Linked DNA regions of Neodiprion lecontei. The protein of the gene in region 1 interacts with the protein of each later gene in a pairwise test. Links are inferred from orthologs where the notes say so. Each region holds a gene or a part of one and is shown in the gene's direction. Other genes may lie near its edges. The genes, in order: apoptotic chromatin condensation inducer in the nucleus and apoptosis inhibitor 5.

Region 1 (16,638 bases):
CATCTTACGTATATACATGGGTATAAACCGTTACGATTACGCATATTGAAGTACGGTGTAATACAATTGAAGTTTTATGCAAGTGGTACGACATAACTGTGCGTTTGGGAAAATCGCAATTATTCCCGGACATTCGGCCGCTGTTGCTTATGCAGGTTCATGTATTGCAACTCCTAATTCATAATGATTAAATAACCAGCTTATTATCCTCAGTCGTAAAAAGGACTATATCCTACAAATTATGACGCTCCAAAAAGCAGGACTGCAATGAGCCGCGCAATGGCCGCCTATAAATTGAGCCGCCCATGTTTCTCATCTATCTCCTATTCTTTAATCGTGTAGTCAGATGCGTGTTTTCTATTTCTTTGATTCACCTTGCTCAACACGTGCCCACACAGACATCGCATATTCAACAATTGGTAAAATCCACTCGGTGATATCGATATGAATACACATTCGTGGTTGCAATTCAAGAACTCTCTAACTGAAGAGAAAAAATGCATTTCGTTCGGTGATTTCATCATTTCACCTTGCATACGAAGGTTGCCTGCACAGACTTTGCGTGGGTGTCAGTCACTGCCTGTACTGTACTGCATATGCTTGCTGTGGGACCTGCCACTACGCTACCATCCCACTGATCGTCACGTAACTTAAATGCTCAAAGGGCTCTGCAGTGTTGCCACCCCATTGATTGTAAGGGGTTTAGGTGAGTTTCCAGTCTTCATCAAGGTGAATTTTTAGTAGGAATTGACTCAAGATGTATACCTATAGGAATAAAGTCTTTTAAACCTTGCCGAGTTTGCTTCGCGGGTAAAGTTATGGTAAGGGGAGCTGAAGGGCCCACTGATATATATATACACTGGATTGGATATTACCGTATACTCTACGTGTAAGCTCGTGTGTCCAATTGAACACTTGAATTTCCGCCATCTTGTACAGAAAGTTGTCACAGAATGCGCGCTAGATTTGAACTGCGTAAAATATGCTATTTAAATCTAACGATATATTCGTCACACAAAAAAGTTTTTGACGAGTAAAATAATGTTTGATACATTAAATGAAGAACAAATCATTTTTTCGAAGGTATATTATTATTTACAATTATATGATGTAAAAGATCATTAAATAATATGACGAAAAACTTGTATTTAAGCGTGATTTTTCTTTATGTTCAAAAGAAGTCCTCAATTCTAAGAAGGTTCCGTCCATTATCTTTTATCCTATGGTGGGCTGAATTTCATACGGATTATTCAAAAATTTGTATAACACTAATTCAACCGTTAGGGAATTCATTTACCATCCATTGATCATCAAAGTGGAGCTTAAGACATGTAAAAAAAGTTTTGAATTAAACTATATCGAATTGGGTGAGTAAAAACTTTATTCAAAAATATGGAGAATAAAACATTCCTTGCAAACGTTAAGGAATTTTTATAGAGTTGCGTGCGATAAACCACAACAATATAATTAGTAGTATCAATCCACAATCCATTCACATGAAGAAAAAGTTACAAGCACAATCAAAAGAAAATAAAAAAGATGTACATATCTGAGCATGCAAATCAGGTACAAATGTGTAGGTGCTCATGTAATTTGGTTACATTCACTGTGGTGGGCCGATCGGATTCATCCTGAAATTCGGTCTGCTGCAAGTTTTCACCTACAGATAAGTTACTAATAAATAACGACAATGGAAATACACAGAAATGTGTCACACACGATTTTTCTGTAACAGAGCACTTTATAATCTGTAGGTAATTAACCGCTTCGACGACATTGACGCAATAGTGCATCACATCAACGTGTCTTTATGCACACTGAGTTTTCTCTGACCTAAAAGGGATTAATAGTTTCAGATCTTACCAAATAACGTTGGGATACTGCCTTTTCGTAAAGTTATATAATTTTTACTTTTCTTCTGAAAGCAAGAGAGTTCAAAGTGGTCGGAACACAGAAAGCTATCACTTGATGGAGACCACGGACCAATGTTTATATTTGCGATCCACTGCTTCATAATATCAGGTTCATCCAATGGGAACCTACATAACAAGCAAAGTTTAAATTTATTAATTCACACGTTATGTTGCATTGAGTAACGGTACTTACTTGAAGAATGAATAGCCACGTCCATATTCCCTTAATCGGTGACAAGATGAACACTCTGATTTTGGGTTGTCAAATATAGTTGGTACACTGTTCTTTTTCAATGTAATTAGGAATCCTGTCCTATCAAAGCAGTCATTTGTAAAATGAGCCGAACACAATGTGCTATTTCGGTTTGGCTTCCAGTCCTTCCTCTTCATTTCTTTTAACCACTGCTGAAGGCGCAACACATCTTTCACGGGAAATCTACATATCGAATTATAATTTAATCCCTGAGTCAATAATACCCGAGTTTTCAATTTCAATTATAATAAGATCGGTTCATAATTCAAATATTGTGAATTTTTACTGACACGATTCGTACGTTATAATACTCGTTAAATATAATTAGTAAATACTTCGTATGCTGACATAACCTCTGCAAGTTATCATTTGCAGAACGCATCAGCGCTGTATACTCACTTGTGAAATGATAGCCCACAATATTTTCATTGCTTTGTTTTGCAAAAAACGCAGGTACTCATTGTTACCTCAATAATTGTTACTGTAATTTTCCAACACAATCGATTATATACACATACATATATCACGTATATATTTATATATATCTAAAGTGACAAGAATCTGTACAAAATGGCTACCGTTCAATTGGCGTGACGGCACCACGCTTAAATCCAATCCAGTGTATATATATATCAGTGGAAGGGCCGGAGAAAAATTGCTGCGTTCTGCTCAGATGCTAACTCGGTTTAATATTGAAATTCCATAAGACGAGTTGGTAATTAAGTGCAGAGCAAGAGAATTACCCCCGGACCCACTAAAACCCACGTGTCCCACGCAGCCGAAGGAAATATATTATTATGCCAGAGCTTGACGTCTTTATATATCTTCAGTTACAGCTGAGAGAGCGGAATCCACTGAAATGTATATCTCTATTTCAGTGGCGGAATCTTAGAGCATTTACAGTAATATGCTCCAAGGGGGAATCTGATCGTGAGCCATCTTGGATTAAGCGACGAGCGGTGAGAGAGAGATAGGTGTGTTTGAAGTTGGTAAGCTCTTGTCGCACTCATGGCGACTTCCGGCAACTATCTGTCAGGACCGTCAGGCCAGAATTGTAGCTACGCGCCATGGCTACGCGTTGTTTCGGTTGCGTGCACTGAGCTCTACTAGCTGTTATACAGAGTTCAGTAACTTGGTTCAATGTTCATTGTCAGATTGCGTTATTTTGGTGGTATTCTCTAATTGATATATAGATACATCAATCAACGAAAACCAACGCCAAAAATCAACGCCAAAATCAAGCGGAAACAATCTATTTGCACAATAATGTAATCAACTTCTCAATCAGATCTTATCACACAAGATCAATCTATATTTATACGAAAATGTAATCAACTTCTCAATCAATTTGTATATACGTCATTTATTCTTAATATTATAGCACATTCATGTTTATTAGGACTCATTATATGAGTTACACTTTCACATTTACATAATTTATACGCTATCTTGACTGCTTTTGCTACAATTTACATTCGAACAAATCGAATAAATAAAAACAGAAAATGAAGAATATTTCTGCGTGTCTATGCATAACCATACCTGGAAGCATGCTTGGGATCAACTGTCGAAACTCAGTGGACCGATGTCTGTGTTAGTCAGTACATATCGTGTGTGACAAGTGCATACCAACTTCAAACAACTATCTCTGTCTGACACATTCAACCACCCATCACTACCATACACTTGTTCCACTCACGGAGTAGAATAACTCCGTGGTTCCACTAATATTAGAGTTCAGTGCCCGAAGTCACTGCAGCACAGGTTGGTATTATTGGACATACATTGTAATCCTCAGTCGACGCATTGTATATATTGTTGAATGGTTTTCAATGGTTGCGAGTTGCGATAGAGCAATACAGTACCTAGAGTTCCAAGTTACGCCAGCGTAGCGCCACTATCGAATCCTTGTTTGATTTTTTACAACGATATGCTCAATCTCTTAATCTCTCTACTTCATGTGGTTCCGTGGTGATTCGTCGTTGTTCGTGGTTGTTCGTGGCGCGAGTGCGGCATCTGCGGCGACAATAATCACTTTTCAGCTAATAGCGTCACCGGACATAGACATATTTGTTTCTCTATATAACAATCAAATAATACACAACTAGTCGAATCGTTTTTTCGACTGGGTTGATTCTAATCACGTTGCACAAATATAACAAATTGTTTTGCGATCCATAGTTTTCCATCGGTAAGTATCATCCTCCGATATAACACCGCGTTGAATAAATTTCTGGTCGCGTCGAGTAACCACAAATCAACATACCCCTGGGTGCGCGAATTGTGCTTGGGCATACATCGCAACTCAACTCATTCGAGCTCTAATTAACTTAACCTAACTTAGCCGAGCCTTTCCTAGCTTAATTTTATCCCCTGCATAGCCCAACCCAGACAGCCCAGCTTGGACGCAGTAAAGCTTTTTCAAACTTATTCATCAGATTCGCGCATGAAACGACGACCCAAGTATATTTCACTTGACTTTGAGTGAAATCCCTCAAATGAAATGTAAACGCCTGAGACTGAGTGCAAGCAGTACTTCCATCATCTGACTGTGCAAATGCTCATCGATAATTTTTTTCTTTGATTCCACAAAATCTGTTTGGATTGCCAAATTTATTCAGCACTAGGATTATCAGGTCCTGTGAAAATGAAAAATCTTGTAGAGAAAATACGCAACATGTAGGCACATTACTGAATTCTACCCAGCATTTTCTCACACTTGATCAATGGGCAGGTACCCCTAAAGTTCAGCAACCGGTAATTAATGCTGCGTAGGTACAAAAAACGTTGATTCAATATATCCTTTTATTCGACAGTACCCTAACTAAAATACATGAGAAAAGTTTACAAATGCATTCAATTCTATGTCATGGCAGTGGAAATAACAGGTATAGGTAAATATCTGTATTAAGTACCCAAAATCAAAAACCACCAGTGATTATGCATAACCAGTCCGAGCAGCCGTTTGAATTATTTTAAAAATGCAACTAGGTCCGGGAAATTCTGCTGAGGCCAGAGATTACATAAGTCAATCCTTTCAATAATAGCGACACTGCCATTGTCGTTACTTGATTTTCAACCCTCTTCCACAATGAATTTGACAAAAAATTTGTACCAGGTTCTAACAACATATCATACATGATTCAGCAAACCAGTGAATTGACAGTTATCGTTGTTTCAGAAATGAGGCGCAAAAGTGAGAGGAACAAATCCAAGGGATCTCCGGAGAAGAAGGTGGAAAAGGCAACACGAAAATCTACACGGAAACGTGGTAGAAGGGCGACGTCGTCATCGCCAGAAAGAGAGGAATTTGAATCTAAGTCGGTGGATTTGTCAAAGGAACAAGAGAGCATACCAGAATCGATGACGTCGCTGCCAGCCACAAGGCTCAAGATCAGAGAGTTGAAAGCAATAGCGGAAGAGGAGTCATTGGCGAAGCAGATAAGCAGCAGCAGTAGTGCCCCGCCCTCGGAAAACCTTGAGGAAGGCGGAGGGGAGGGAGCTTCGGTTTGGAAGGTAGCGAGGGCGGATGCCTCACCAGGTGAAATCCAGAAGCTCAAATTATGCAGGCAGCGAAATCCATCGGAAGCATCGGATAGTTCTTCGTCTAGGAAAAAATCTCATAAGTCGTATGAAAGTGGTGAGGGTGACGGCGAGGAAGGTGACTCCGCCGAGGAACCGCTTAGGTCACGGAAGCGGGACCTTGGTGAGGAGCGGCAGGATGATCCCTCCTCCCCGAACCCGGGTCAGGACTCCAAGGAAGAGGTAAGTCATTGTAGGGAGATCCTGCCCAGAACCACTTCAGCCAACTTCACCTTGTCTGACGATAAAAAAAACGTAGATCGGCTAGCCGACAACAACGCCGACCAGGCTATTCGTTACGACCAAAACTGTCCTGTCCAGAAGTCGCCAAAAGCAGATACCAACGAACAGGAGGAGCCCAGCTCCAACGGAGATGATCTAGATCAGACAAAGGCCCCTATAGTCGAGCGACAGGCTTCCGAGGATGTTGATAAAAACTTGCCAGAGGGAAGGAAGGGCAAGGAAGAGGTGGAAAAGGTGGGTGAAACTGAAGCTGAGGCTGTCGTTCGGCTTAACGAGGTGCCGATAAATGACAGCCAGGCTGATGAAAAAGAGGATTCAATTGCTCCCGCTGAACCTGAAACTAGAGAGTCGAGTACTGACGAAGATAGCTGTAACAAGCCCATTGCATCTTCGGTGACAAGTGAGACAAAGATTCAAACTAAAAGGTCTGAACTACTTACGTCATTGCGTACAGTGCGGCGGAAGCATCGTGATAAGTATCACGAGTCCTCAGACTCTGACACACCTGAATCTGAGGATGAACCCAACGAGAAGAAGACTAACGATTCTCAGCAGAGAGAAGAAACAGGGAAGGAATCAGCTAAGATCAAGAGCAGCAGATCCCCGTCTCCAGTGAACAGATTTGGCTTCTGCGCAGAAGTTTCAGCGGATAATAAAACTGAAAGTTCTGGAGAGATAGAGGAGAGGAGAAATAGCCCGAACGATTGCAGACCCTGTGACCAAGTACCAGTTAATTCACTTTCAGCTGATTATAAACCTGCAAAAGTCAATTTGAAGCGATCCTTGTGAGTAAAATGCTGTTTTGTGTGTTATTTTGTTTTTATTCTCCTTTTTCAAAGCCACTTATCTCATGGAAAAACGTCTCTAAATGTGGCATGACCACCCGAATACAATCGACTAAAATCTGTATGGAGATTTAGTGCTCTTTTGTTGCTAATTTATTGTCTGTGTCGCGATTTTGTTGCTTCAGCCGTTTCGGCAGAATCAAAGCCAATGCCAGGTTGGAATAAAGTTGACATTGCTTTGAGGAAAAATTTAAAAAAAAAAGTAAACATGGTCTATTAATTGTAAGTTGTTATTTAGTTGATTGAATGTCACATAAATATAATTTCAAATTAAACCTTTATTTCAGTAACTATACAACCAGTATCCACTTTAAGAATTAGTTATTCTGGAAAACTCCACCGCATCATTTTGTTATTCCCCTGCATTTGGGCAAAAACTCCTTTTAGTGTGATGAAAATACGCAATTCCGCAAAATGTCCTTTATTTAAACGATTATCAAACCTATTTCTACTTTTATAATTAGCTGCGCTGGAAGACTCCACTACACGATTTTGTTGCTCACCTGCATTGGCCCATGTAATCGCTGAAATAATCGACATTTCGAGTAACTTGGTATTTTTATCACACTAGGGGTGGTTTTTGGCCAGAACAAGGTAAGCAACAAAATCGAACTGTGGAGTTTTTCAAAGCAACTAATTCTAAAAGTGTATATTGATTGTAGAATCACACATATAAAGGACATTTTCATAATTTAGTATTTCTTATCATATTGGAGGGGGTCTTTGGTTAAATGCAGGTGAGTAACAAAATAGCGTGGTGGAGTTTTTCGGAGTTACTCATGCTTAACGTAGATGTTGGTTGTATGATTACTGAAATAAAGAATAATTCGAAATTATATTTACGTGACATTCCAGCAACTAAATAGCAACTATACATGTTTTTTTTTTTATCATCCACCCATTGCAGTGCTAATTTTTTTTCACCTAGCATTGCCCTTCATTCTGCCGAAACGGCTGAAACAAAATCGGGATTTTGGCAACAAATTCATAATAAAATAGATGTAAATCTTTATGTGGATTTTATTCGATTTTGTTGACGTCGTCATGTCACCTTTGCAGACATAATGATAAATGCAATGTAAGCGATCATACATTTAAAACATGTTCTTGCTTCAATTACTTTGCAGCTCTGTACGGTTAATGGAAGCCGAGGAGTCAATAAAAAAAGATGATGCCGAGAAAAATGGAGAAAGCGAAGTGTCTCTTCGAGTCAAGGTAAGAATGCGGTGTACCGTTTTAACGTTCTTGATGGGTATTTTTCAGATTCCAAAGAGATTTTGCTTTCACTGTCTTGCCATACAACTCAATGCTTCCAAAGCTTTGGAAATCTTACTACAGCAGAACATTGATAATCCGAACTAATTGGGACCGGGAGTGGTTCGGACTATCGAATCGTTCGGATTACCAAAAAAAGTGCTTTCCAGGCATAGTAGCATGCAAAAAATGAACACTGACATACTATTTCCCATAAAATAAGAAGCACGTTGTATTGTTAAAGGTAAATAGTTTGTTTTATGAAATACTACTGTGCTACAGTAAGGTAATTATATTTTATGTAATGTATTGCACATGAATTTCGTAATATTTTTAGTATACAATCCTATACACATACAGAAAGTACAGTACTGTACACACAAAAAAATTATACTGTACAGAAAGATAAAAAAATTAAAGAAAACAAAAAACTCAACAAAGAACATTCGAAAAACCAACACAGGCTCAATAACAACACACATGATGCAATGTTTACTACGGTGATGCTCTGTTTACTGTAGCAGTTAGAGAGCGATTCTGATTACTATTTTTATTTTTTCCAAAACGGCGTTCGGATTATCAAGCGTTCGGACTACAGGGGTTCGGATTATCGATGTTCTACTGTACTTACGAATAGGTTGACTAATTATATGTCATGCTTGGCCAACAGGAAATTCACAACGTAGCTGAACAAGCCGATGGTAAAAATTTACCCCGCAAGCGTCGCTGGGGAGTTGCTGTTACAGCAGAATCAACCCCAGCTTTTACGGTATCGACTGATTCCTTGAAGGTATGTTTCATCTTTCCTTAAAATTTGCTAAATTGATGTCTACACTCGGGAATTTCGTAAAAAATGCTTGTCTGATTTTCTCTCCAATCGTTACGCAGGCTTTGGTACCCGGCGCAAAGCCACTGTCGATTACAGAAGTCAGATTATCCAAAGACGATGATGAGCCAAGGGAACGACGCAAAGAGCGGGAAAAACGGCGTTCGATCAGCGCCGACGCCACGGAGCCGAGAGTTTCCGAAGACATTGCAATGACAAAGAACGAAAATACGAAAAAGGGAGATCTCAAACACGATAATCACATAGGTGGGTCGCAGACGCAGTTTAACACGCAATTAATTTTAAACACAACCTGTATCCAAAATTTGTAGTCCCTCCTTTTCATTCAATCGTGTATTTAGATATACTTGATATTCCACAGGTGCAAAGCGGAAGATATCAATACTGAAAGAAGCGCCTCCCGTCAAATCACCAAGCCCGTCATTGGCAAAGGCGACAAATGTACTGCTGATAAAAAACCTTGTTCGCCCATTTACTTTGAACCAGATCAAGGAACTGCTTTCTCGGACAGGCACCATTATAGAGAATGGCTTTTGGATAGACGGGATTAAGTCCAAATGCTACGTAGTGGTGTGTATTAAATTTTTAACTTCTCAATTTCGGGGGAGCTCGATATTTATCTTTTCCGTTATCTTAATTATCAACAGTATGCGAACGAGGACCAGGCATTTGAAACCAGACAAGCCCTGCACGGAATTTCGTGGCCATTGTCAAATCCTAAACGTCTTCAAGTCGAGTATGCAACTATAGAAGATGTGGAGAAAGCGCGCGAACTGTTCAAAGACCAACCCGCCCTCCGCGCTGCAGAGCCATCGGTGGGTGGCGATACCTGGCAACAAGTCTGGGCCCGTGAGGAGAAGCAAAATGCACCGGTCAAGGTAACCAGTTTTTCAAGTTGCTCACAAAAGACTGATGCTTTTGGAGTCACTGCTGTTTTTCTTTCCTACATATCATTTTACCCACGAGTTGAGGTCGTTTCTTTTCTTGGTTCGGCCTTGCGTTGTATTACCTACCTACTTTTTTTCTTCCTTCTTCATATCATTGTAACATAACAATTTACACATCGTGTAGGTGAATACTGTCCGTGAATGGGATCTGGGTAAGGAAGATGGCCATCAAATGAAAGAGAAGGAACGGGGAAAAAAGGATTTGGAGAAGAAAAGAAGGCAAAGAAGTCGCAGCCCACCGATAGAGCCTCACCTACCTCCACCTGCTCGGAAATTCAAGAAAAAAGAGGACGACCCACCGCCAGCCAAACTCCTCGACGATTTGTTTAAAAAAACTAAGGCCATTCCATGCATATACTGGCTGCCACTTACAAATGAACAGGTAAAGGAGAGGTGATGTTACCACACCTGTACAGGTTTCTTATTCTTTCATGGAGAAACGCATGACAATGAACCGTTTGTTATTCGTGCCTATAATACCTATGATCGAATTTCAGATTGTGGTAAAGGAAGAGATGCGTCGGCAGCATATGGCCGAACACGCGCGTAGACTTGAGGAGATGAAGCGCGCGGAGAGAAGCAGAGACCCTGCCGCACGTCGCCGGCGCAGCCCCAGAAAATAAACTCTGTTGGTTTTATCCAACAGTTGTATCCTCCCCGAGCAACTCAAGATTACATTTACGACTAGACAACAACACGCGACCGACGTTCAGGTCTTAGAAGCTAGAGTCTGTATAGAAATCAATCCAATGACTTACCTATTCCACGAGACGATCGTTGCACGCAAGAGACCAATTAACCATCTCTTTCCTCTATTTCTCAACCCCACTTTTTTCCCCAGCCTTTCCTTCGACTTTTTTCAATAAACATGCTTCTTACTCGTTACCGTATCTCAGTTGTGATTGACGAGCAAATCGTTCCAAGACTTTCACCGGGTTGCAGACTTTTGGTGCATAAACTAACTTGTAATTCCCGTACGACCGACGCACGAATCGTGTCCCATCTCTCCAGTCCATTCCTCAATTTCAGCATTAAACCGTATTTCTTACAGGTCTACGTCTGTTCATAACCGTTCACCAAAGGCAGTAGAGATAGTGATATTGTACTTTGATAACTGTACCGTAAGGGGACTGTCGCCGGCAAGAGACATGGTATTATTTCGACTAATAGCATCGATATCACTATCAGGCTTTGGCCTTGGTAATAATTTGCCCCCGGTCCGGGTGCGCCGCGTCGTGGGAATAGGAAAAACAAAGACATTGAAATGGATATAAAAGGAAAATCGAGAGACGTACCGGCATTGGTCGATCGACACTCGAACATGGGGGTGTGTAACACAACCAATACTGCGCTTCAGTCATGCGCCGCCACCCGCGTAATGCTAGTTCCAACAACTCGAAATACATGCAAAGAACGAACAACTTTTACTTCCGATGGAAATTTTGAACAATGTGTATTACGTACAATACATAGTAATTTTCGTTAGCCGACATTGGCACGTTTGGACAAATATAACGCGCAATCGGTGTGACACCGTTAAATGTCGGCGAACTTCGAAACGTGACGAATAATGTGTTATTTCAATAAATTCACACCTGCCATGAATCAGGTAGCAGCTGTTATTCGCCGGCGATTTATGCGCAAGTGTAACAACATACGGCACGTATTGCCGCCCCGCCTTGCGGAATCACATGTATATATTATACTTGATATATCCCAAAATGTGGCATGTAAAATTATTCATCAATAAAAGTAAGAGACCTCAAAATACAATCTCTATACGCGCTCTTTATAACACAAATAATAATAATAATAATAACAACAACGACTACAATTTACAGAAGATTTGACATTTGTTGTTGTTTCTTTTCGGTCTTCATAGTTAATAATTCACAGAGAATGCCCAGATTTATTCAACTGTCCCAGGTATATGCAAACAAGGTATGCCGGTAATCTATTGCAGGGGGGCACTATTGTTCACTGCCTGGGTTTGATTCAATGACAGTGGCAAGTATTCTGTTTGATAGTGCAGTAGTTATTTGTAAATAATTTTTGGCACTCCAAAAATGCTTGGAATTCGTCCCCCCCCCCATGATGTTACATTCTATCAACGCACAATGTTATATTCCTCGATACCAGAAAATGATATTGACGAATTGTCGGCAGGCTCTTTATTCAATGTTACTGGGTGATCCCTATCTTCAGTCACAACAGGGTTTGTATTCATACAAAACTGTCGATCTCAAAAACTGCTATTTCGAAAGTCTTTGATACAGCATAAACGAAAGCTAAAAGTAGGTAATTGGAAAAAATCCCTAACATAATGACCGATTTGTACAAATTACTCATACATATGAATATTAATCTTCATATATGTATATATACACGCTTATAAGATGCACACTTAACATTAAGTGAACTATATTATCCTTATCGTTATTGTTATTGTTACCAATAACATAATTTATGTAACACGGTATGGTTTACCCGTCTTTTTTTGCCCCTTACGTCGTAGTACTTAAAAGTGTTTGAAAGAAAAAAGATTAAAAAAAAAAAACCACACTTATAAACCGTACTTTTGTTACATAAAGTATCTTGTGCACCATGGAAGCAGTATTTGCCTCGCTTATTTCTAATATTCGTCTTTGGCTTGCGCAAGCGCTCGCATACGACTCATATTGCAAACTTGGACTTTGCGTAAAAAGATCTATTTTGCATCCTTGGTACACATTCAACTATTTTTCTTTTCAAACTCTCGAAAGTTGGTGTGTCCTTGGACGTTACCGGACCGATATACTCGAGTAGTTTCGTGCCATTATTATAGGCAATGAATTATTAATTTTCTTCAATTTCTCACAACAGCCACCGAGAAGTAGGGTACTCTTCGGGACTTGATAGAGTTGTAACAAGCCTTGCACTAATCAACTTTCACTACGCTGTAGATTTTACGCACGAACCAGAAGCAGGCAAAGAATCCAATGGAACCTGAAATAAATATGCAACATGGATTTTGGCAATCTTTCACGATGACGCAGAACCATTAAAGACTTGACGTATCCTCGCCTCGACTTACCTGTGAGTAAGAAAAATAAGAACACCATAATAAGGGTGTATCCGAAATACAGGAACGTCGATGTTGCGTCTTCAATATTAAGTTTTGTGACAAAGTAGTGGATACAGTAAACTAGAAGATAGAACGCGGTGAAACCTGATGTCAAGAAGCTCCGCCACCACCAGTGGTAATCCTAGGATGCAGAATATGTGATATTCATTTAGGGATATTACTGTAAATAGTAAGTGCATTGCCAAAGTAATGCTTGAATTTACCTCTGCGCAAAGATGGAAGTAGCAAAGAAGAATTGTTGTCTCTGAACATGTTATGACAAGAATGAGAAATACCAGGAACAAGAATCCGAACATGTAGTACACCTGACTTGACCTGGAAACGGAATGTGTATACATAAAGCATGAAATAAAATATCTTACTTGGATTGATAACTATGTTGGTTTGCAAACGTCTCATTTACCATAGGGAATTTAACAGAAAGAAGAGCTGAATGAATATGCATCCAAAGGGCAAGACTCCTCCCATCACAACTCCAGGAACAGCTTGTGTGTAGAAACTTTGTTCCGGAATCTGCCGTGGGATCTGGTTGGTCCTTACAGGATGTTCGAGAGGCTGCGGGGATGAAAATTAAAGAAGACCGTTACTCGATCTGAAGAATTTACGTTGTGAATCAAGGCGGAAGGAAATAACAATGACTGTGAAGACAATGATGGAAACAACACCAGAGAAAGTAACAATGATAACACTACTAACCCTTTTCCTAAAGCCAAAATATGATCCAACGAACGTAAGAGGAACAGACACACCGAACCACAATGCCAACAGGGCGACAAGTGTGCTGAAAGGTACAGCTGCGGAGCTGTCGTTCATCCAGAATATCAAGTTCATTACAAAGAACAAACTGAAGACAATGCTGGAATACAGTTAAATCGTATTAATAATAACATTGGTATTTTTTTTTCAGCAGATGCTGACTGCAAACAGTTAGGTTCTAAAAAAATGCTTGCATCTATCTGCAACTTACCCAGGGCTAAGCATAGAAGTTAGGAGAACGTTCGACTTCCACTTTTCTCCGCCAAAACTCTTATATACACGAGCTGAGACATATCCAGCTGGGGTGCCGAGGCACACATATAGAACCATGGCGCAAGTCATTAGGGCACCACGATTTGCCGGTGAAAGGAAGCCAAGACAAGCAAATGCTTGAGAGAACGAGCAATATTGAGTAATTACTGTTTAGTTCCAATATTATCCTATTATGGCTTTCTGCTCTTAACCAAGACTCAAGTTTCGACCTACCTAAAGTAATCAGTGCCATAAAGAAAACCTGAATGCCAGAGCCGAGAAGTACCGACAGCAGCATCCCTTTCCGCGGAGGGCGAAACACATCACCGTGTACCAACTTCCATCCAAATTCCTCCTGCGCGTCCTCTCCCGACTCTATCTGAAAGTAGGCCTGCGTTATCACAACACAGACATTGCATAATCACTATTTCATAACGAATAATATGGCTGGAACCCATATATTTCTTTTTACATTTTTAGATCAAGTTTTTTGGACGATGTGATGAAGGGAATCTTGCACATACAATATTAATTCGCATTTACATGCTGTCTTCCGTTACCTTCCAAACCAAAATAAGACTAATATTGAATATCCAGATGAATATCTTGGTCAAACGGTAGGTAGGACTTCAATTTTGAAATTTGTCAGGCAACAAATCCTAAATTTGACTCGATAGGTGCTTTGTAAAAAACCTGTGCAACAAATGTGCAATGAAATAAGTAATTTGCAAACATACCTGGTTATATCGAGCAATATCTTTATTCAGCGTGCGTAGCATAATCATAGCTACCATCCCAGACAAAAAGAGAACAATCACTAGCGAATTTAGGATACTAAACCACTGGATGTTTGTTTGTGGCATTGACTCGAGAATATAATCCCATCTCGATGACCATTTGATTGTGTTATTTTTCTGAAAATTGAATTGAATTTTATTTATTAGATGCACAGATACAGGAAGATTTTTCCATAATTGTAGCAATTACAAAAATTCTTTTAGCTCTAGCCATGACAGTACATGTAGCTTATGTGATTTTCAAACACTTTATGTGTGTCGCAGAAGCCCAAAACTAGGCTTGTTCGCAATCAGACTATTCTATAAATTCGTACTTATAATATATCTAAATAAAAGAAATAAATAATAATACTATAAATCTAATTGAAATAATTGACTCATTTGTTTATCTCAGAGATTGCAAATCTATAGGAAAAGTATTTTACAGTGAAGGTAGCGGGTAACGGTCACGAGTCATTCATTCGATTGTATTAATAATGCCAAAACCTTAGCATAGAACATCACTTGGAAGTGTGGAAATAGTTGAAAATCATAGTTGAATAGGGCTTGTTCTTTGTTCAGCTCACCAAGTACGTAATGCGGTATGTGTAAAGCACGTCAAGTTTTTCCGAAGGGCTCAAGTCTTCTCTTTTTATTGCCAATGGACTTCTGCTATCGCAGTCAGGCAAAGACGGATTGTGATTTATGCTGCGGGGCTCCACCTTGACAGCTATAACACGCAAGCGCATAAAGTTACCTTTTGGTAAGTATTCGCAGATTGCTAATCTTCGTCAAGCTACCATGCCAAAAGTGGACATTTGCCATTCCTGCCAATGCAATTTTTTTAGGCTTTAATCAATTATTCCGAATTGTTTGTCAATTTTTATTGCTAACAATATCGGTAGATCAGACTTTGAGATAAAACTTGTTATTAACCGAAAATGCTAGGTGCACTATATATTTTTTAAAAGGTTGAATTCACGAGAATCGTTTTTCTGAAGAAACTTACATATTATTCGCCCTACTTTCTGACGATATCCTGATCCCCACTCTTCTTTGTCACCGCTGTGATACGTTATGGTCAAGTCAACGTGATTGAACAGGTAGTACGTATTCGGTTGGTTGTAGCCAATCTGTAGAATTAAAAAAATTGTCAAGTTGCAAACATATGACTGTTAATTGTCCTCAAATATGTTAGATCATACAAGGAAGGTAGTGAACGTAATTTCTATTCATTCCTTTATTCTGGCACAATAACGTGTTTAGTGATATAGGTATGTGAAATGTTAGCGTCTTCCTTGATATTTTTACTCACATTACACATGTCTGTTGGAGAGCGAACTTCTTTGGATAGGCAGCCCATGGGGAATCCAGTACTGCAGTATTGGCGCGAGCTTTCTAGTGGGTAACACCACGTAACAGGCATGTTATCTGAAACAGGAAGTGAGCTGGAAGTGAATTTGGGTCGTGTGGAAATTCTTAATCACATTCTATGGGTGATTGTTGTGAATATCTTATCAACAGACCATTGTGGGTGCAATATCGTTACAACCAAGGTATAATTACCCTGCATAGCAAAACAAAAAGAATTTGCTAAGATGTAATTGTAAAATATGCGTTCTACGGACCAACAATCCAGTGATGCTGGTAATTCAGAGCCATGCCTTTCTTCAGTAGCTGCAGCTTCTTTGCTGATTGCTCGTCTCCTCCTGAGTACGTCTTTGTGCATAACAGCTTGCAAGTTTCATTATTCATAAACTCGAGCTAAAAGGTTAAGATTGGAGAATTACGCAGTCTGAAAACTTGATACGAACAGTTATATCGAGATTTATGAAAAATAAAATTA
Region 2 (16,624 bases), on another chromosome or scaffold:
CATACTGTAAGCAGCTTTGCTCGCCATTCGTTGCTAAAAAGTCCGTCATCGTGTGAGCCAAGTTGAATAGATTCAATGCTGTTACAGAACAGTATCCTAAATCCGATGGTCTTACATCTCGTCTTCGAAGTATTGATCGATACGTAAGTTTCGAAGATCTTTCGGAAGCGTGTGAATTACACGGACGGTCCGTATATTGATCCGGCGTATATAGGAAATACGTTTTCGGTAGCTTCACTTGTTTTGTACTTGTAATCACTGAACTGTAAGTGCTAGGCTTTGTCCAAAGTGTTTTAACGAAGAAGATTCGATCTATGACATCGATGCGAACACTCGTTAACCGATGGTTTTAATTGCAAATTTAATTGACGGAGAAACTTCAAGTTGGTATCTTTACTTGTGATCAGAGCCCTCCAGAAATTGACTGGAGAACGCTTCGTTTATACTTAGATAAATAGTAAAGTTGTAACTGATGAATATTTTTGTCAGGTTGCGCAATGCGTTGTATCTCAAAGCGAGAGGAAAGATTCTTCTATGATATCGGTAAAACTAACTTGGTGAAAACTGAACGGGAAAATATGAGACGTTCCTGAAACGCACTCGAGACATCATGCGAAAAATAATTTATTCAACGATTTCATAAAGCATATCACATAGTAGTTAATTAATCAGATTTTTTTTTGGCTCATGTCGATCATTTCCGCAGAATAAATCTTCACGTGGAAAGTAGAACGCAATTATTCAGTACCTGAATTGAATTGTCGCAGATCTTGGCAACTGAACTACAACTCGGTCGATTGCAGTTATAGTGTTATTAACCAGGACGACTGACTTCAGGTTCGTTAGTCCAGCGAATAAGCCACTCGGTAGAGTTTGGATTTTATTGTCAGTCAAACTGATGTGAGTCATCGACGAGAGGCCTTGGAATGCGTCAGCTTCTATTACTGAAATCTCGTTGTTATGAAGATACAGATATTCTAAACTACTTAGGCTGATAAAAGTTCCCGATCGAATTGTGGATATTTTGTTGTGGTCGATGGATAACAGGGTCAGTTTCGACAATCCTCTGAATGCCCGTTCATGAACGGTTACTATGTCATTGTGAGAAATGGACAACGAATCAAGTTCAGTCAAACCATTGAAAGTTTCGGCTCGCAGTTTTTTGATGTTGTTCCTGTCTAAGTAAAGATATTTCAATTTCTCGAGACTTTTGAACGAATTGGGAGCGACGGTGGTTATTTCGTTGTCCTCTAGCCCCAGAGAAGTTATCTCCGAAAGGCCGGAAAATGTTATCTGATTTATCGTCGCGATGAAATTCTGATGCAGTTGTAACCTTATTAATCCTGATAGTCCGTTAAAAGTCCCTTCCGATATGTGGGTAATCCCGTTGTTAGCCAAGAACAATCTGTCCAAGTGAGGCAATTCTTGAAACAAGTTGGGAATCAGCGTAACCGCGTTGTTATCAAGGTCCAGATATTTCAGGTTCGGTAGGCCCGAGAACGCGCCATGTTGCAAATTCGAAATTCTATTTCCGGCAGACAAGTGTAGAGTTACTAGCGAGAGATTTTTAAACGCACCAGGATCAATCGACGTCAAATTCAAGTTAAATATTTCCAAACGATCACGGTGCGTTCGTTCCGTTACCTCGGTTAAAACACCTTCGACGGAACTGCACACGGTATAGTCAAACACATTTCTGCACGTTGGTTGCGTCTGAGCAAGCACAACTGCGAGAACGAAGTTCACCGACACTGCACAACGAATCATGACGCGATTCTGTTCTAATATCGTGCTTTGCTGCTCGGACTATTTAAGTCGAACCATATCTAAAGGCTACCTTGAACTTTGCCAGCGTCGTTACGTAGAGTCACGTGTCGATTGATCACGCCGGAGATGATATTTCAGATGATTGTCGAATGCGTAAAACATAATCAAGTTTCCGCGGGGTGTAACCGGCGTATTCACTAAACTTCCTCACGGAAGATTAAATTCTTAGATTCGCGCTTATGGGGCTGCCTGTGATAGTCGTAGTTGATATCCAATCAACAATCCACGAAAACAGCGATCTACTCTGAAAAATTATTCGGTTTCAATTTGATGTCAATCTATCTCTACCTGATGTTAAATTTCTGGAGCAACCATGCAAACAGTACTGTAGTAATTTTTGTTCCAATTCCTTCAGTATACGACGAATTTAACGAGTAAAATGATGTTGCGGACAATCAACTTCGAACAAGTAATAGAATAACTTCATTCCTTTCAGGCCGTCACTCACAACTCTCGTAAGATTTACAATTCACGTAAACGTAAATCCAAGAAATCTCTGCGTCGGGATGATCGATGGTTTGCTCGTCATTCATGATCATTCAGTATCGTTCGCACGTGTATAATATATTCTATAAAAATCCACACCATTTTGGTGTTGATTTTAACTTTTATAGACACCGTGAATTTTCTGACAGTGTATTTGACAATAAAATAAATCTTGTGGAATTTTGTTACCGTAATCATTTTCGGTTTTCTTGTTAGCAACGAACTCATTCAAACTTCTCTTTGCGTAACAGTACTTCAGACTCTTCTCTTTCGCTGAATTCACTTGGCAGCTTTTCCTGTACGGAGAGGGGTGTGTTGAGAATTGGGCGATGTGTTCGAGAGCGGGGATATAATTCACGATTGGAATTGATCGATTAGGCGAAAAATGTAATCTATGTGATGCTTGATTCGTAACAATATCGGAATGAATAGAATATTGTCATTTGAACCGTTTCAGTCACGCAATGATTTAAATATTACCAAGTAGACTTACCTACCTTCATTTTTCAGTCGGGTTTGAGCCAACACAGTGGCCAATTGGAAGTACGCGAGTATCGCACACCGAATCATGGCCACACAATTCTGGTGAATCGATTCTCGTACCTTAACTATTTATACTAATCGTGAGTGTGCCTGTTGCAAGCTGACTACATGAATCTAAACGGGAAAGTACTATACATTCTTGGAACGCAGTAGAGACATTCTACGGAATATTATTTATTCAAAGATTGTGCGAAAGTATATTACATTGTTGTTAATTGAGCGGAATTTTTTATTCACTCATATTCATCATTCCAGTAGACGAAATCTTCATGTGGAAAGTAGCACACAATTATTCGGTGGGTACCGAAAACTGAATTGTCGCAGTACTTGGCAACTGAATTACATTTGGGTCAACTGCAGTTATGGTGTTATTGGACAGATCAACTGACTCCAGGTCTGTGAGTCCAGCGAATAAGCCATTCGGTAGGGTTTTGATTTTATTGTTACTCAAATCGATACTTAACTCCGACGTGAGGCCTTCGAACGCACCAGCTTCTATCACTGAAATCTCGTTATTATAAAGATCCAGAGATTCCAAACTGCTGAGACCAATGAAAGTGCCTGATCGAATTGTAGATATTTTGTTGTGTTGGAGATGTAAGAAGGTCAGTTTAGACAATCCTCTGAATGCCCTTTGATCAATAGTTACTATGTCGTTGTCATTGATGTGCAGAGAACGAAGTTTCGTTAAACCTTTGAGAGTATCGGCTTTTAGTTCTCCTATATTGTTTCTATCTAAGTAAAGATTTTTCAATTTCTTGAGACTTACAAACGATTTCGGGGCAATGGTACTTATTCTGTTGCTCTCTAGCTCCAGAGAAGTTATCTTCGAAAGACCAGAAAATGTTGTTCGATTAATCGTCGCAATCAGATTCTGATGTAGTTGCAACTGTACCAATTCTGATAATCCGTTAAAAGTCCCCTCCGGTATGTATGTAATGTTGTTATTGGCCAAGGACAACCTTTCCAAGTGAGGCAATTCTTGAAACAAGTTGGGAATCAGCGTAACGGCGTTGTTTCCAAGGCGCAGGTCTTTCAGCATCGGCAGGCCCGAGAACGCGCCTGGTTGCAAATTCGAAATTCGATTTCCGGCAAACAGGTGTAGAGTTACTAGCGAGAGATTTTTAAACGCTCCAGGTTCAATCGATATCAAATTGAAATCCAATATTTCCAAACGATTATGGTGCGTTCGTTGCGTTACCTCGGTTAAAACACCTTCGACGGAACTGCACACGGTATAGTCGAACACATTTTTGCACGTCGGCTGCGTCTGAGCAACCACAACTGCCAAAAGAAAGTTCACTAGCACTGCACGACGAATCATGATGCGATTCCTTCTAACGTCTCGCCTTGCTGCTCCGACTATTTAAGTCGAACCATATCTGAAGGATATCTTTGAACTTTACCACCGACATTGCGCAGAGTCGCGCGAGTGATCACGCTGAGGATAATGATTCCGATGACCGCTAAATACGTAAAATATAGTTAAATTCTTGCGAAACATACAAGGTGTATCTACTCGACTCTTTTACAGAAGACGAATCTTTTTGATTGGCAAGTAATCGGACTGGCCTGTGACAACCGTAGTAGATATTCCAATCAACAAATCCCGAAAACCCAAAACTACTCTAAAAAATCTTGCTGCCGAGTTTTATAGACTCTTTTGGTCAATTCTAACACCACTTTTTTGATACTATGATGATTGATGTACAGTTTTAATCGAGGATGTACTTCTTACTCCATTTGTTGGGATTCTGTTATTACTCCATTTCATGTCATACGGTTAAGTATAATCACTTTATGCGATACTCATAGATCTCTGACCCTTCACCTATAACATCTACTTTCGAAATTACGGTCGAAGTTAAACACGTGATCAATGAATATTAATTAATCATTTGCTTAATGCGTAAACAAAATTGACTTCACTGATTAAATCGTATCGTATACTTCATGAAATATATACGTTGCAACAATCTTTGCAGTAATTACAAAAAATAGATTGTTAAAGTTTATTTTCACTGATTAAAATTTTGGGAGGATTCACTATTTATCCTCGATATATTTGTTTGGCAGCATGATTTACTTTCACAGTAATCACCGGAATGTAATCAAGATTCAGTTGCGATCAGTATCATAATATTACAATTTGAATTTCATCTGCCATTTGAAATGGTACGTTTCAGCTTTGTGATGAGAAGCCAAAAAACTTTTTTACTATTTTAGATAATTTTAATTTCTAGAACTTGATTGATAACGTATTTTAATTTTCCTTCATCGAGTCGTAACCCAGGGACTATTCAAATCTAAAATTTTTGATATACTGGATATTGCCATTGATTTAAGCCTGTACTCCTTGTTAAGGCAATAATACTTGAAATCATTTGGAATGGCTGAAAACGAGCTGAAAGAATTTGAAATTTCATTAGACGTTTTAAAATTACTGAAGACCCAATCACGTGAATCGCACGAAATTAAATATAAGTTTACAGGATCGTTCAGAACCATTCTACGGATAAAAATTAAAAAAATAGAGCAGCAAGTAACCGACAAGATGCATCCCGCGATTTTGGCATAGTCAACTGATATACCGATATCAGTTCCTTGTTCGTTTACATTTCCAATTCTAAACAAAGATATAGAATATCTAGAGTTACCGACAAAGCGCTTACCAACGTTTTCCCTAGCCGACAAACACTGTCAAATTGACACGATTACCGACTAGCACTTTGCCAATTAAGCCTTCCAAAATGTACTACTGGAGTTAGCAGCTACCCGTACCTTCAACCTCGCGAAATCTGTGACCGTAGTGACGAGAGAGCGAGATATATATCCTCGGGTCAGCCAGGATACTCCGTCTCTGTCACCCTGCCCTTGATTGGCTGAGAGGAAACGTATCGACCAGCCAATTAAGTTGTAGAGCAGAGGGAGTACGAGTACGAGCATAAGTACATGGCATAAGTGCTCCACCTCACTTTTCTGCCACACTTTCTGCACACGCGAGGCTACTCCCATCGTTGACTGATGAATTTGGTTGAAATGAATTTGCATAGTTGGAAAGTATACGGCGTCCTTACGAGGTTGTATGAAGATTTCAGTCTGTGCCCGTTCGTCGTTCCGTTTCCATAATAATATTCGACTCTGCATTATCTGGGTACACGCGGTGAGCGATGGTAATACCGGTTCTTGTCGCCTCTACTTACCGACCGATTGCCGGATTGAGTTGCGCGCGGAGGGGAGGACTCAGCTTGACGGTGAAATTTATCTAGTCCACTTTCGATTACGAAAATTCTCATAAGGCTAGCAGTCTTCGTATATCTTCGGTCAACCCCGGTAGCCTCCTCTTAACGTCAAGCGTACGCATTTCCGCCGGAAATTGTTTCGGGTCGTCACGTATGTTGAGTTTACCTTCTCAATTTTCACCCAGTTGTTGTCGCCTGGCGGCCATTGGTGTGAGTTGAGTTCATTCTTGGCGTGGCGTTAAACCGGTTGGACGTGGACGAATTTACGGTGTAATTTATAGTCCCACGAATCTGGTCAAGTTTTATTTCATCAGATTGAAAGGATTTTACTCACCCGTTACGATGAGTACCGACAGCATTGAGAAGTTGTATAAAAATTTTGGCATACTAGCTGACGCCAAGGATAAATTAGCCGAGGTTCGTAATTTCTACCGTTGGCTTGGTTATACTTCCCTCGAATTTCACGTCTTGATTCACATTATTTTTGCTGAATTATTCTTGCTATCTGGATACGAAATGTTGAAGATCCAATTAGCTCGCAAAATTGAAATTATACAGATTATTGGTGACTTGCAAAACCTTTCTCATAGTTCCCTCTGTGTAAAATTAATTTACGTTATTTTAATAAATTTCTAGCATGAAAAGGAGTACATGGAAATTCTCACCGCGGTGAAGGGAACGACGAAAGAAAAGCGCCTTGCTTCGCAATTCATCGCCAGATTTTTCAAACACTTCCCTAAACTCGCAGATCAGGCAATCGATGCTCATCTTGATCTCTGCGAAGATGAAGACATTGCTGTAAGTACCTTGTTAGCAGTAACGATTACCATGTTACCTATTCTGTAAAATATACATTTCATTTCCCATCACTAACGAAACCACATATGATAATTATGTAAACCTCAATCAACTATTCATTTTATTTAGTCAGCGTAGTTGTACAGTTGTAATGTGTAACTTTGTTTTGTACATTTATGGAGAACAAACAATGTGCGCAAATATTTTTTTAGTATCGCGCCTCACTCTGACTATTTGTATTTCCGTTGGTAATTCAACTGTTGCACCTGAAGCGAAAGTTACACGTATTGATTAAACAATCAAAAAACCATATGCATATACAGCTACGGAATTTATTTAACTTAAACAGTGTATATGTTGGTTTTTGTTTGTCAGCCAGATGTTCCCCCAGTCTTGTTCTGATTAACTATCGCCTATCGCTTATTAATAATATTTCCCATTCCTTATTGTAATCCTTACAGCCTCCTTCCTGTCTATATTTCTCCATATTCATTTAGACTCTAATTGCTCTAACCAGTCGGGATTGCACTTATTCAGATGCACATGTTCTCCAATTATCGTGAATTTCTGCATCTATCCCTATGGATTCACACCTATTGTCTGAATGATTTTTATTTCATCTTTCATGAAGTGCATTTCCATTCAATTTTTTATCAAGCAAACACTTCTGCTGCTACATTCAACAAGTCAAGTTTAGTTCCTCCGTCCAAATCTGCCTTCCAATAATTATCGTTGAAGTCATTAAATCTCTTTTGCCCAAATTGAATTCATACTCTTCAACTTGATCATGAACAATAAACTCGTTTCATTGTATATTATATATTAAACCGTTTATCCTCTTTAAAACAAATTCCTCTCACCATTCCCTGTTTTTGATATTGAAAGTAGTGATATGTAAATACATGTAATCAACGAGTTTGAACCCAAAAGTAATCCCATCTGCATCGCAGTTGGGTATGGATATAATTTTGAAGAAAGATGTGGTAACCATATATCTTACAACAGACTTAAAACTGATACAAGTCTGTTACCAGAAAATTTATTTACGAAATTCGTAGCTGTTTGGCTATTTTGTGTTTCATTGTTATATTACGTTGATGTGGACTGTGAAAGTCAAATTCATGAAAGTCTTTTCATCTCTTAGATGTTGTTTACTACTGATTACTGCAGTGAAGCATCATGAAATTGGCTCTGGCACAATCACTTTTCTTAATAATCTGATGGTATATCTGCACTGATCCTGAACTTTGTCACTTTTATGACAAAAACAACAAAAACATAATGAGGCCAACATGGCTTACGTGAAACATGTCTCATTCTAGAAAATCAAAATACACTGCATAAACAATAACAATATTTCAAGGTATTATGATGTGTAAGGAATTTCAGCAGTTAGTGAAATCTACAGGCTTATCCATTTATTAAAGCTTTTGAAGATGCCAAAATAGCATCAGGCTCAATTGAAATTGGCTATAGCAATTGTACAGATACAATGACGTTGCCATTGACGATCAATAATTATTGATCATACGTACCGATATTTTTGGTGGCAGCATCAGAGTTAGTCCAAAAGCTCCCAAAAGATGACTTATAAAAATTAGTTGTAATCAATGACAAATCGATTCTGTTTATGTTTAATAACGATTCAGTTTTCCCAACATTACTGTTTTACCATCTCTCCTTTATCACTTCGTACCGATGGATTTTGTAATTAAAACATTGTCAGTAAGATTGAATATAGATCTTTCAATATTTCTCTACAATTTTCAAGTTTACCTTCGCGTAAAGATCCATCACAATCGTGTCGACTTTACAGATTAGGAAGCAAGCGATTAAAGACCTGCCGTCATTGTGCAAAGAGAACAAAGAACATACAGCGCGGATTGCTGATATATTGGCGCAATTGTTATTAGCGCAAGATCCATCAGAATTGGCTGTGGTTCAAAACAGTATTATGTCGCTAATAAAAAATGATCCTAAAGGTAAGTGTACCACCAAATACTTCAAGTTCATAGGCAAAGAGAGAAATACATTCGACATGCTAAGTTTCGATTTTTAACTAAGGCATTGTTCACATCTACAGGTGCTATCAGTGGATTTTTCAGTCAGATTCTGAACGGCGATGATGGAGCTCGAGAACGTTGCATCAAATTTTTAGCTACCAAACTAAAGGCTGTTGGCCATGATATCATAACTAAAGAACCAGAAGATTTGCTGATTGTTGAGTGCAAGAAAGTATTACAGGTGAAAAATTCAGTTCTTTCCTTTTACAATATCTCTTTTTTTCTTTGGGGTTTTCCAGTAAATTTTATTGCAATTGAATATCAATTTTCCGCAGGATGTCACAGCTGATGAATTTCACTCCATTATGGAAGTACTCGCATGGACCAGACTGGGATCTACAGTTACTGGACAACAGGAGTTGATTGATATTATTGTTGAACAAGCTGAGCTTTCAATTCCCTTTAAGCACACCAACGAAGAACAGTGGAGTCGACTTGTGCAATGCATTAAACATGCCCTACCATTTTTCAATGTGTGTGAAGCTCTTGTTGTTTATCAGACATCAATGTCATTTCAATTGCTAGCTATAACTATACTGTTATCTGTTTTCAGTCGCAAGTTGACTCGTCCAGATTTGTTTGTTACATATGCGTTCAAGTCTTACCCCATTTGTCTTTAATCACGGGACCTGAAGGCAGAGATCCACAATTGGAACTTTTAAAACTTCTTGCTGAACTAACTACTTACTGTGGAACGATCGAGAAACCTGAAGAGAAAGTACAGCAGATATACAATGCCCTTGTTGTAAGTATTTTACTAACAAATATGATGATGTGAATACTCTGAAAATATTGGGTGCTTCTTATTTATGACTTATGTATGTTACCAACAGACGTACATGCCTCTACCTCCAGAAACCGATTTGCCGGAGCTACCAAAGCTCCAATTTAGCCACGTTGAGTGTCTGATGTATACTTTTCACAAACTTGGCAAGCAAGTCCCAGAATTTTTGACCCGTGATGCGGATCAACTGAAAGAGTTCAGACTGAGGTTACAATATTTTGCAAGGGGGATACAGGGTTACATAAAGAAGCTCAGAGAAGCTATAAGTGGAAAAAGTGAAGAACAGTTGAAATCTGACGAAAATCAAATGAAAGTTGTTGCACTTAAAACAACCAACAATATCAACACTTTAATCAAAGACCTATTTCATTCACCACCGAGCTACAAAAGCATTATACATCTTTCATGGAAACCCTCTACAACTGACAAAAAGGTAAGAAACATAAACCTATAATCTGTGATCTAACAAATTAGTTACTACTTCTGTATGATGACATAATTACAAATCCAAAATTAAAACAAACCGCAAAATCGTTAATTTAATTTTCGATCTCATTTCAGACTGATAAAGCATCACCGGGACAAAAGAGACACACACCGATTACATTTGGTAACGATAATGCACCGAACAAACGGAGCAAAGACGACAATAAAGGAAACAAACGAGAAATTTACACACCTCCCAGTGGCAAATACAGCTCTAACATTTCTTCAAATTATGGTGAGTATGTTCAAAGAATTGATGTACTTTCTGATGTCGTTTGATTGAAAAATGTAGCCAAACGTGACAGTGGTTGGAAATGTTGTTCACCAATTGTGTTGAAAAGTGTGAAAAAACTCAAAATCGTGAATGCCTTAAGAGGTCAGGAAACTTTGGAGTTACTGGAAAAGTATTATCATAAATTCTAGTTATTTTACCTAGAATAACGTGTTGTAAACTTGTTACCTAATTTTATACGGTCTGCTTATCAGGAAATCGCGGAAGATTCAGGGGAAATCGATCTGGCGGACGTGGTGGAGGATACAGAGCACGTGGTCGCGGATGGCGAAGGAGTGCTTACTAAATTTGATCCTATGCAAATGACGTAAAATAAGCAATGAGTCCGTACGAGGTGTGGAAAATATTCATGCAAAGACTAAAACAAATTACGAGCTATAAAATTCGCCTAAAGGATTTTGAGGAGTCAAAAATGCGATGTGAGAAGCATATGCGAATGAAGATTATTTGTAAAAAAGAAGCTGTACCATTACTACCACGAGTTGGTGTACGATGTGGCAGCTTTAACGTATTAATGTGTTGGAGTGTTTTCAAGTGTCAATCTTATCTGAATTGACATACTACAAATGAAGGAAAGACTCAAGAAGTTGATCGAGACATAAAAACCGAAACAGTTTGTGTCGATCTGTTGTGTTTTGCACTCAAAGTGGTTAATTTTGTTTGCAAATCCATGTCCAGTCAGGTATTGATTCATCTTAATTAATATGCCTCGGATCAGGGAAAAACAAAAATACTGATGGAAAAAAGGATCAAAGTGACGTGATTTGTGCCCATTCGTTATATTTGGTACTCGTGGTGTTCAAAGTTCTAATTTTGATGTCTAATTTTTATGACCGTAATGTTAAACGATGGTTAAACATTCAAAATTGAAGCAGCCAATATCCAGTTAATTTGACCGACAATGAGGTCAACTTTGTACTTTATGTACAAAGGTGAATGAAGAACGCAACAAGAAGCTTTTAGAAGCTAAGAAAATATATGAATCGAGAGATTACATATGGGCATCAGCAGGTCAAGAAAGAAGAATTCTACTCCTAGTACCTTTGTTGGTAACGATATGCAGATTGAAAATTTCGTGCTCCCGAGGTCATAAATAAGCTACCTGCCGATTCTCGTCAAATGCAAAACCGCCACTGGTCTGCTGGAGGATTTTAATTCGCTCATCAATCAGCAATCTATGTCAAACTTATGTTCTGCAACTTACAATGATTTCCACCCTGCCTTTCCCTTTGTAGAATTTTGATCCCTATCCTTTTCTCCCTTCATTAGTAGTTGGGTTTTTACAGTTGCGGAAAGTCAAGAAAGCTGCAGCCACAAGTTGGAGGATTTTTTATAGCCAAAGACATACTTGAATCGATAAATACTCTCTGCTTTCCTATAAATTACACTTCTGCTCATTACATATACTCGTATTCGTGTTTTGAATTTTTTCGACGAAATTGTTATACCATATTACGTTTGAATATTTATTTTTATTATTTTTTTCTTTTAATAAACGGTATAAAATATTTTCTCTTCATGTTCAATTTTCTATCACATTACCTTTTATTGTACTGATCTTTAACGACCGCTGATTCAATTTTTTCACTACTTGCTGATTGAATGTCTGGATGATTCAGTTTTGGTTATATGTAACCAAGTATTTCTTTGGCTGCTGTCATCTCATGATTTATTTTCATTGAGGTTTCAGGTACCAAAACGAAACTGCAAACGAGGGTAAGCTGCGCTGCGAGAGAAGAAAGAGAAATTGCTAAATTTATCTGTTTCAGGTGCCTGCAGCCCGGGTTCCTTTCAGTGGTATCAGAAGCTATAAACTAATGAAATTCATTCTTTCAGGTAAACGAGTCCCAGGAATATAATGTTTAGGTAGTTTGATATGTGTTGTATATGATGGTAGCTGTTGAATAAGGTGAGTCAATAATTGCAATTCTTCATCGCCCTGCTTCCCTATCCCATTATCAAATGAAAAGTTTCATGTTATCTGTAGTTTTGTGAATATATCTTTATTATTATCCTAATAAAAACGATTTTTATTATTCATCAATAACTGTTATTTCACTTTTTTACTTTTTCCATTTACAAGAAAAATTGAGTTGAAAATAAGTGATAGACGATAGTATTACGGAATAAGGTGAAGAACATACTATATTCATATTTTATTATTGACATTTATTTTGATTAATGATACATTAATAGACCATCACTACATCGTGGAGAAACAATAATTATTTCATTTAACTAAGGCAATAAATTAAGCTACAAAACCGTATAGCAAACAATCTTCAAGGGCTAATTGTCAGCATCACCACTTATAACAAAACTAAAATCTAGACATCAAGTGCAGTTTCTATTAATTTTAGTTAAACTTTTATCAGCTAGGTATCAATCTTGCTGGCAGATTATTTAGTAGGGTGTGTATTACGTTCTTAAAAAAGTAGTTTCTTTGAGCTACGACACGTGGCGAAGCGTGCAATATTTTGCTACTAAATAGACCACCTGGACAGCTACTATTGGTAGAAATTTTTGTTATCGTAACATTGACGAATCTTCTCTATTAAATAATCACTGAAATCTTGTCTATTCTATCTTGTAGTTGATATCAGAAATAATGTAGTTGCTCTGGAAATACAAATTTGTCGCTGCTGCTGCTCGAGTCTTAAGTTAACTTCTGTCATGTCCGTATTTGTAGCAAGTTTGCAATTTATCTTCAAGGTATCCGCTAGTATCTTATTCAGTGTAATAAACTGTACTGGAACTTGGCAGCTGAACACTAGTTTTATCAATTTGAGTCAAAGTGTTATTTGCCATGTAAATTAAATTGATCTGAGTTAGTCCAGCGAATACATTATTTGGGAGAGTGTGAATTCTGTTATTGGACAAAAATATTTCTTCAACCAAGACGAGGCCCTCAAATGCAGCGGGCTGAATCTCAGAAATTTCGTTGTGCTCAAGATGTAAGATCTTCAAATCACTCAGGCCTTTAAAAGCACGGGAATGGATGGTTGCAATTTTGTTGTGATTTGCATACAATCTCTTCAACTCCGGCAATCTTCCAAATGTCTCTTGCGGAAGTGACGTTAGGCTGTTATCGTTAACATATAAAGTTTCAAGCTTCGTTAAACCGGTGAAAGTGTTGGGTTTTATTTCTGTTATTTTGTTGTAGTCCAAATGAAGACGGTTTAATTCCTTGAGATTTGCAAAAGACCCTGAAGCAACGGTAGCTATTTTGTTATTATCTAGCCACAAATACAACAGCTGTGGGAGTCCAGTAAACATGTTTGGCTTTATCTCCGGAATATCGTTTTGGTTGAGATAGAGCCACATTACTTTCGATAGTCCGGTAAACGTCCCTGCCGGTATATTGTTGATCTTGTTATAAATCAAGGACAATGACTCTAGCTGAGATAGTTCTTGAAATAGATTAGGAATCAGGGTGACAACATTGTTATCCAAATGGAGGCGGGTCAATTTTGGTAGGCCGGTAAATGCTCCGGACTGTAGAATTGAGATGTGGTTTCCTTGATACAAATATAAATTTGTTATCGTCAGGTCTTTGAAGGCGCCGGGCTTGATTGACAGCAAATTTAAATCACTGATTTCCAATCTGTCTTCGTTCCTCTGCTGTGTAACACTACTTAAAACACCTCGAAAATGACACACAGTAAAGCCATCGTGACTCGTGCATGTCTGCTCTGTTTCAGCTGTTACGAGAGCCACAAGAACGTGGACCAGCAACGCGTAACGTAACATGACTAAACTCTGTACTGTTCATTTGCATAACAGCAGACAATTTATATTGGCTCATCTTTAAGTTATCGTTTGAACTTTGCTACTGTTATCAGACAGTGTGAACTCAGTTGTTGTGGAGTTTATTACCAGGAGAAGTGTATTTTTAACGTAAAATGTACTGGAAATATAAGATAAATCAAACGTGCAATAGATATATTTCAAAGAATTGTGACGCGTTAGGAATTTCGAGAAATGATTATACATGAATGTTCCTTACTTTTAAAAAACAGTTCCAGGTATTTATGAGATGCAGAAAGGTTTTTAACACTTTTTTTTTACAAATCGTTACATAATAAATGTTTCGAAATACTTTGTCCCCATGTCTCGATCAAGTATTTCTTTGAGTATCGTTATCTACTAATTTATATCAACTGATTCATTACATAGCATTATGAAACCGTTCAAGAACGTGGGGCTGTTCGGCTCAAAATTGTTTTGAACTGTCCCGTTTTTCTACACTCAGCTACAGGTTTCCATGTTACGTTTAGCGCTGTGAATCTATGTCATCATTCAGATGAAATCTACCTTGATTAATGATCAATAATTCATCTTATTGTTATGACATCCCTAATAATAGTATTTCTAGGAGATATTTTTTCACAACTTCGTACTGAAATTCATTTTTATTCACTTCTTTGGAGAATACGTAGTTCCATTTTAATCCTTCATTTCTTAATAATGATTACTGGACTATTTCCAAGTCAGTCAAATATACAAATGATAAGTACAGTAAATCGCAGAGCCATGCGCCCGTATTCAGAGTATTTTAATTTTAATCGCTGTCCAGCACAGTAATAAATAATATTTAAAATATTAATTATATTATGTATAAAACGATATGCAGTAATAATCATTGTAGAAACTCACACGCGTCTAGACAAATTCACTAATAATTGTTCCTTATATCTAAGCTCACTATAAACCAGTTTTTCAACAGCGTTGAAGTATAAAAATTATTTCATTCAACCAAGGTAGCAAGATGCAATTCAAGCCAGCATGTTTATTTTTACTTTCGTAATTTTACGTGACGAAAACTAAAAATTCAAGAATTAGAGGTACTGAAAACTCTTTTTAATTGCTGTTAAACAGTGTTTCTGACGCTGTTTTCAATAAATAAAACAGTTTTTATTTTATTGTTGGGATGAATTTTTGCTGATCCAGAATCAGTAAAGATTATTCGATGTGGTCATTTCGTCGATAATATTGCACATCATTCGGTCCCTTGGACAACACGGATCTGTAGCTTGTTGCTCTAGTCCCAAAGTATCCATAACTTCCATCGTATCTGTACTGACAGCAAGGCTTGAATCTAGCTCCGAGGTGTCAGGCAGCATCTGCAATGCATGCTGCAATATTTCCTGCACCTAGAGAGAAAGAATTGAAAGAAATTTTAGTCAGTGATATTAGAAGAAACCAAATGTGATGAAAGATAAACCAATGACACGTATAGCATACTTTGTCTAAATGTTTTTGAAATCGCAGAGTGGTTTCTGTCCGCTGTCTACGCTGGAGCTCCATCATAACACGAAGAGTTTCTCTAGCCTGATGCGGCCTAAACTCATTAAGCAAGTGGTGAATATGGATGAACAAAAGGCTCAAGTCCTCGACCTGAAAATACGTCAGGAAAAACCATGAGATTCTTTATTACCGTCAATAACTCCTGGTGTTAAATGTCTCAAGTATGAAGAAAATCAAGGACACACCTTCTCCGCTCTCCTCGGACTGTCGGGACACTGTACCAGCAGATCTATAAGGTCTAAAAAATTGACCAGAAGAGAGTGATTGAGTTTCTTGAGCTCACGACGCCGGTCAAAATGCTGGGGATAAAGCCTCTTGATCCCCTGCGCTTCCAGCGGCCTTATGATGGTGTCGTCGGCGTTGAACATGTTCCCGAACATGGAATAGTTCTCATGATTAGCCGGGGGAGGACGGGGAGCTCTTCCTCTACGCACGTTCTCATCGGTGTACAAGTTGATGTACTGAGTAGGCGGCATGGGCAGCGAGCTGACCTGCGTCGCTTCCGGAGTCGCCATGGTTTAATAAAATAATATCAACGGCGTAGTCGTAAGATTTTATTCCTGTAAAAGAAAAGAGAAGGAACTGAAACGAGTCAGAGGAATTTAAACGTCAGATGAAAAAAAGATGGGTCATGTTAGGCTAGGTTATAACCACGATATCAGCCTCGGTTTAACACCATCAATCGGAGGGTGAAGATAGGCGAGGTGGATCTACTCACGCCATGAAATACGAGTAAAGCAGTGGAAGGCTCGTCGACGAGGCAGTCACTGTGTTTTCAGCGTCTAACAACGCGAGT

Evidence for each region.
Region 2: the proteins of apoptotic chromatin condensation inducer in the nucleus (region 1) and apoptosis inhibitor 5 interact in a two-hybrid assay, tested with the Drosophila melanogaster proteins (2 studies listed by BioGRID). The link is inferred for Neodiprion lecontei from reciprocal best matches to the Drosophila melanogaster genes Acn and cass.

The regions. Positions count from the first base shown.
Region 1 is NC_060264.1:23,643,139-23,659,776, forward strand, and holds apoptotic chromatin condensation inducer in the nucleus, read left to right. Parts: upstream 1-5,020; 5' UTR 5,021-5,035; coding exon 5,036-5,060; intron 5,061-5,347; coding exon 5,348-6,776; intron 6,777-7,963; coding exon 7,964-8,051; intron 8,052-8,760; coding exon 8,761-8,880; intron 8,881-8,978; coding exon 8,979-9,183; intron 9,184-9,298; coding exon 9,299-9,507; intron 9,508-9,584; coding exon 9,585-9,815; intron 9,816-10,008; coding exon 10,009-10,266; intron 10,267-10,381; coding exon 10,382-10,507; 3' UTR 10,508-12,181; downstream 12,182-16,638. Other genes in the region: CD109 antigen, read right to left, coding at 375-407; THAP domain-containing protein 1-like, read right to left, coding at 1,563-1,660, 1,864-2,039, 2,107-2,303; transmembrane 9 superfamily member 2, read right to left, coding at 12,802-12,869, 12,958-13,129, 13,212-13,323, 13,412-13,563, 13,705-13,864, 13,976-14,153, 14,251-14,407, 14,754-14,930 and 4 more.
Region 2 is NC_060265.1:6,382,231-6,398,854, forward strand, and holds apoptosis inhibitor 5, read left to right. Parts: upstream 1-6,116; 5' UTR 6,117-6,440; coding exon 6,441-6,515; intron 6,516-6,734; coding exon 6,735-6,896; intron 6,897-8,712; coding exon 8,713-8,878; intron 8,879-8,979; coding exon 8,980-9,140; intron 9,141-9,234; coding exon 9,235-9,432; intron 9,433-9,512; coding exon 9,513-9,704; intron 9,705-9,792; coding exon 9,793-10,176; intron 10,177-10,304; coding exon 10,305-10,464; intron 10,465-10,715; coding exon 10,716-10,807; 3' UTR 10,808-12,940; downstream 12,941-16,624. Other genes in the region: insulin-like growth factor-binding protein complex acid labile subunit, read right to left, coding at 742-1,806, 3,149-4,180; leucine-rich repeat-containing protein 15, read right to left, coding at 13,249-14,271; mediator of RNA polymerase II transcription subunit 7, read right to left, coding at 15,474-15,674, 15,766-15,918, 16,014-16,343. UniProt on the Drosophila melanogaster protein: Antiapoptotic factor. Also known to efficiently suppress E2F1-induced apoptosis.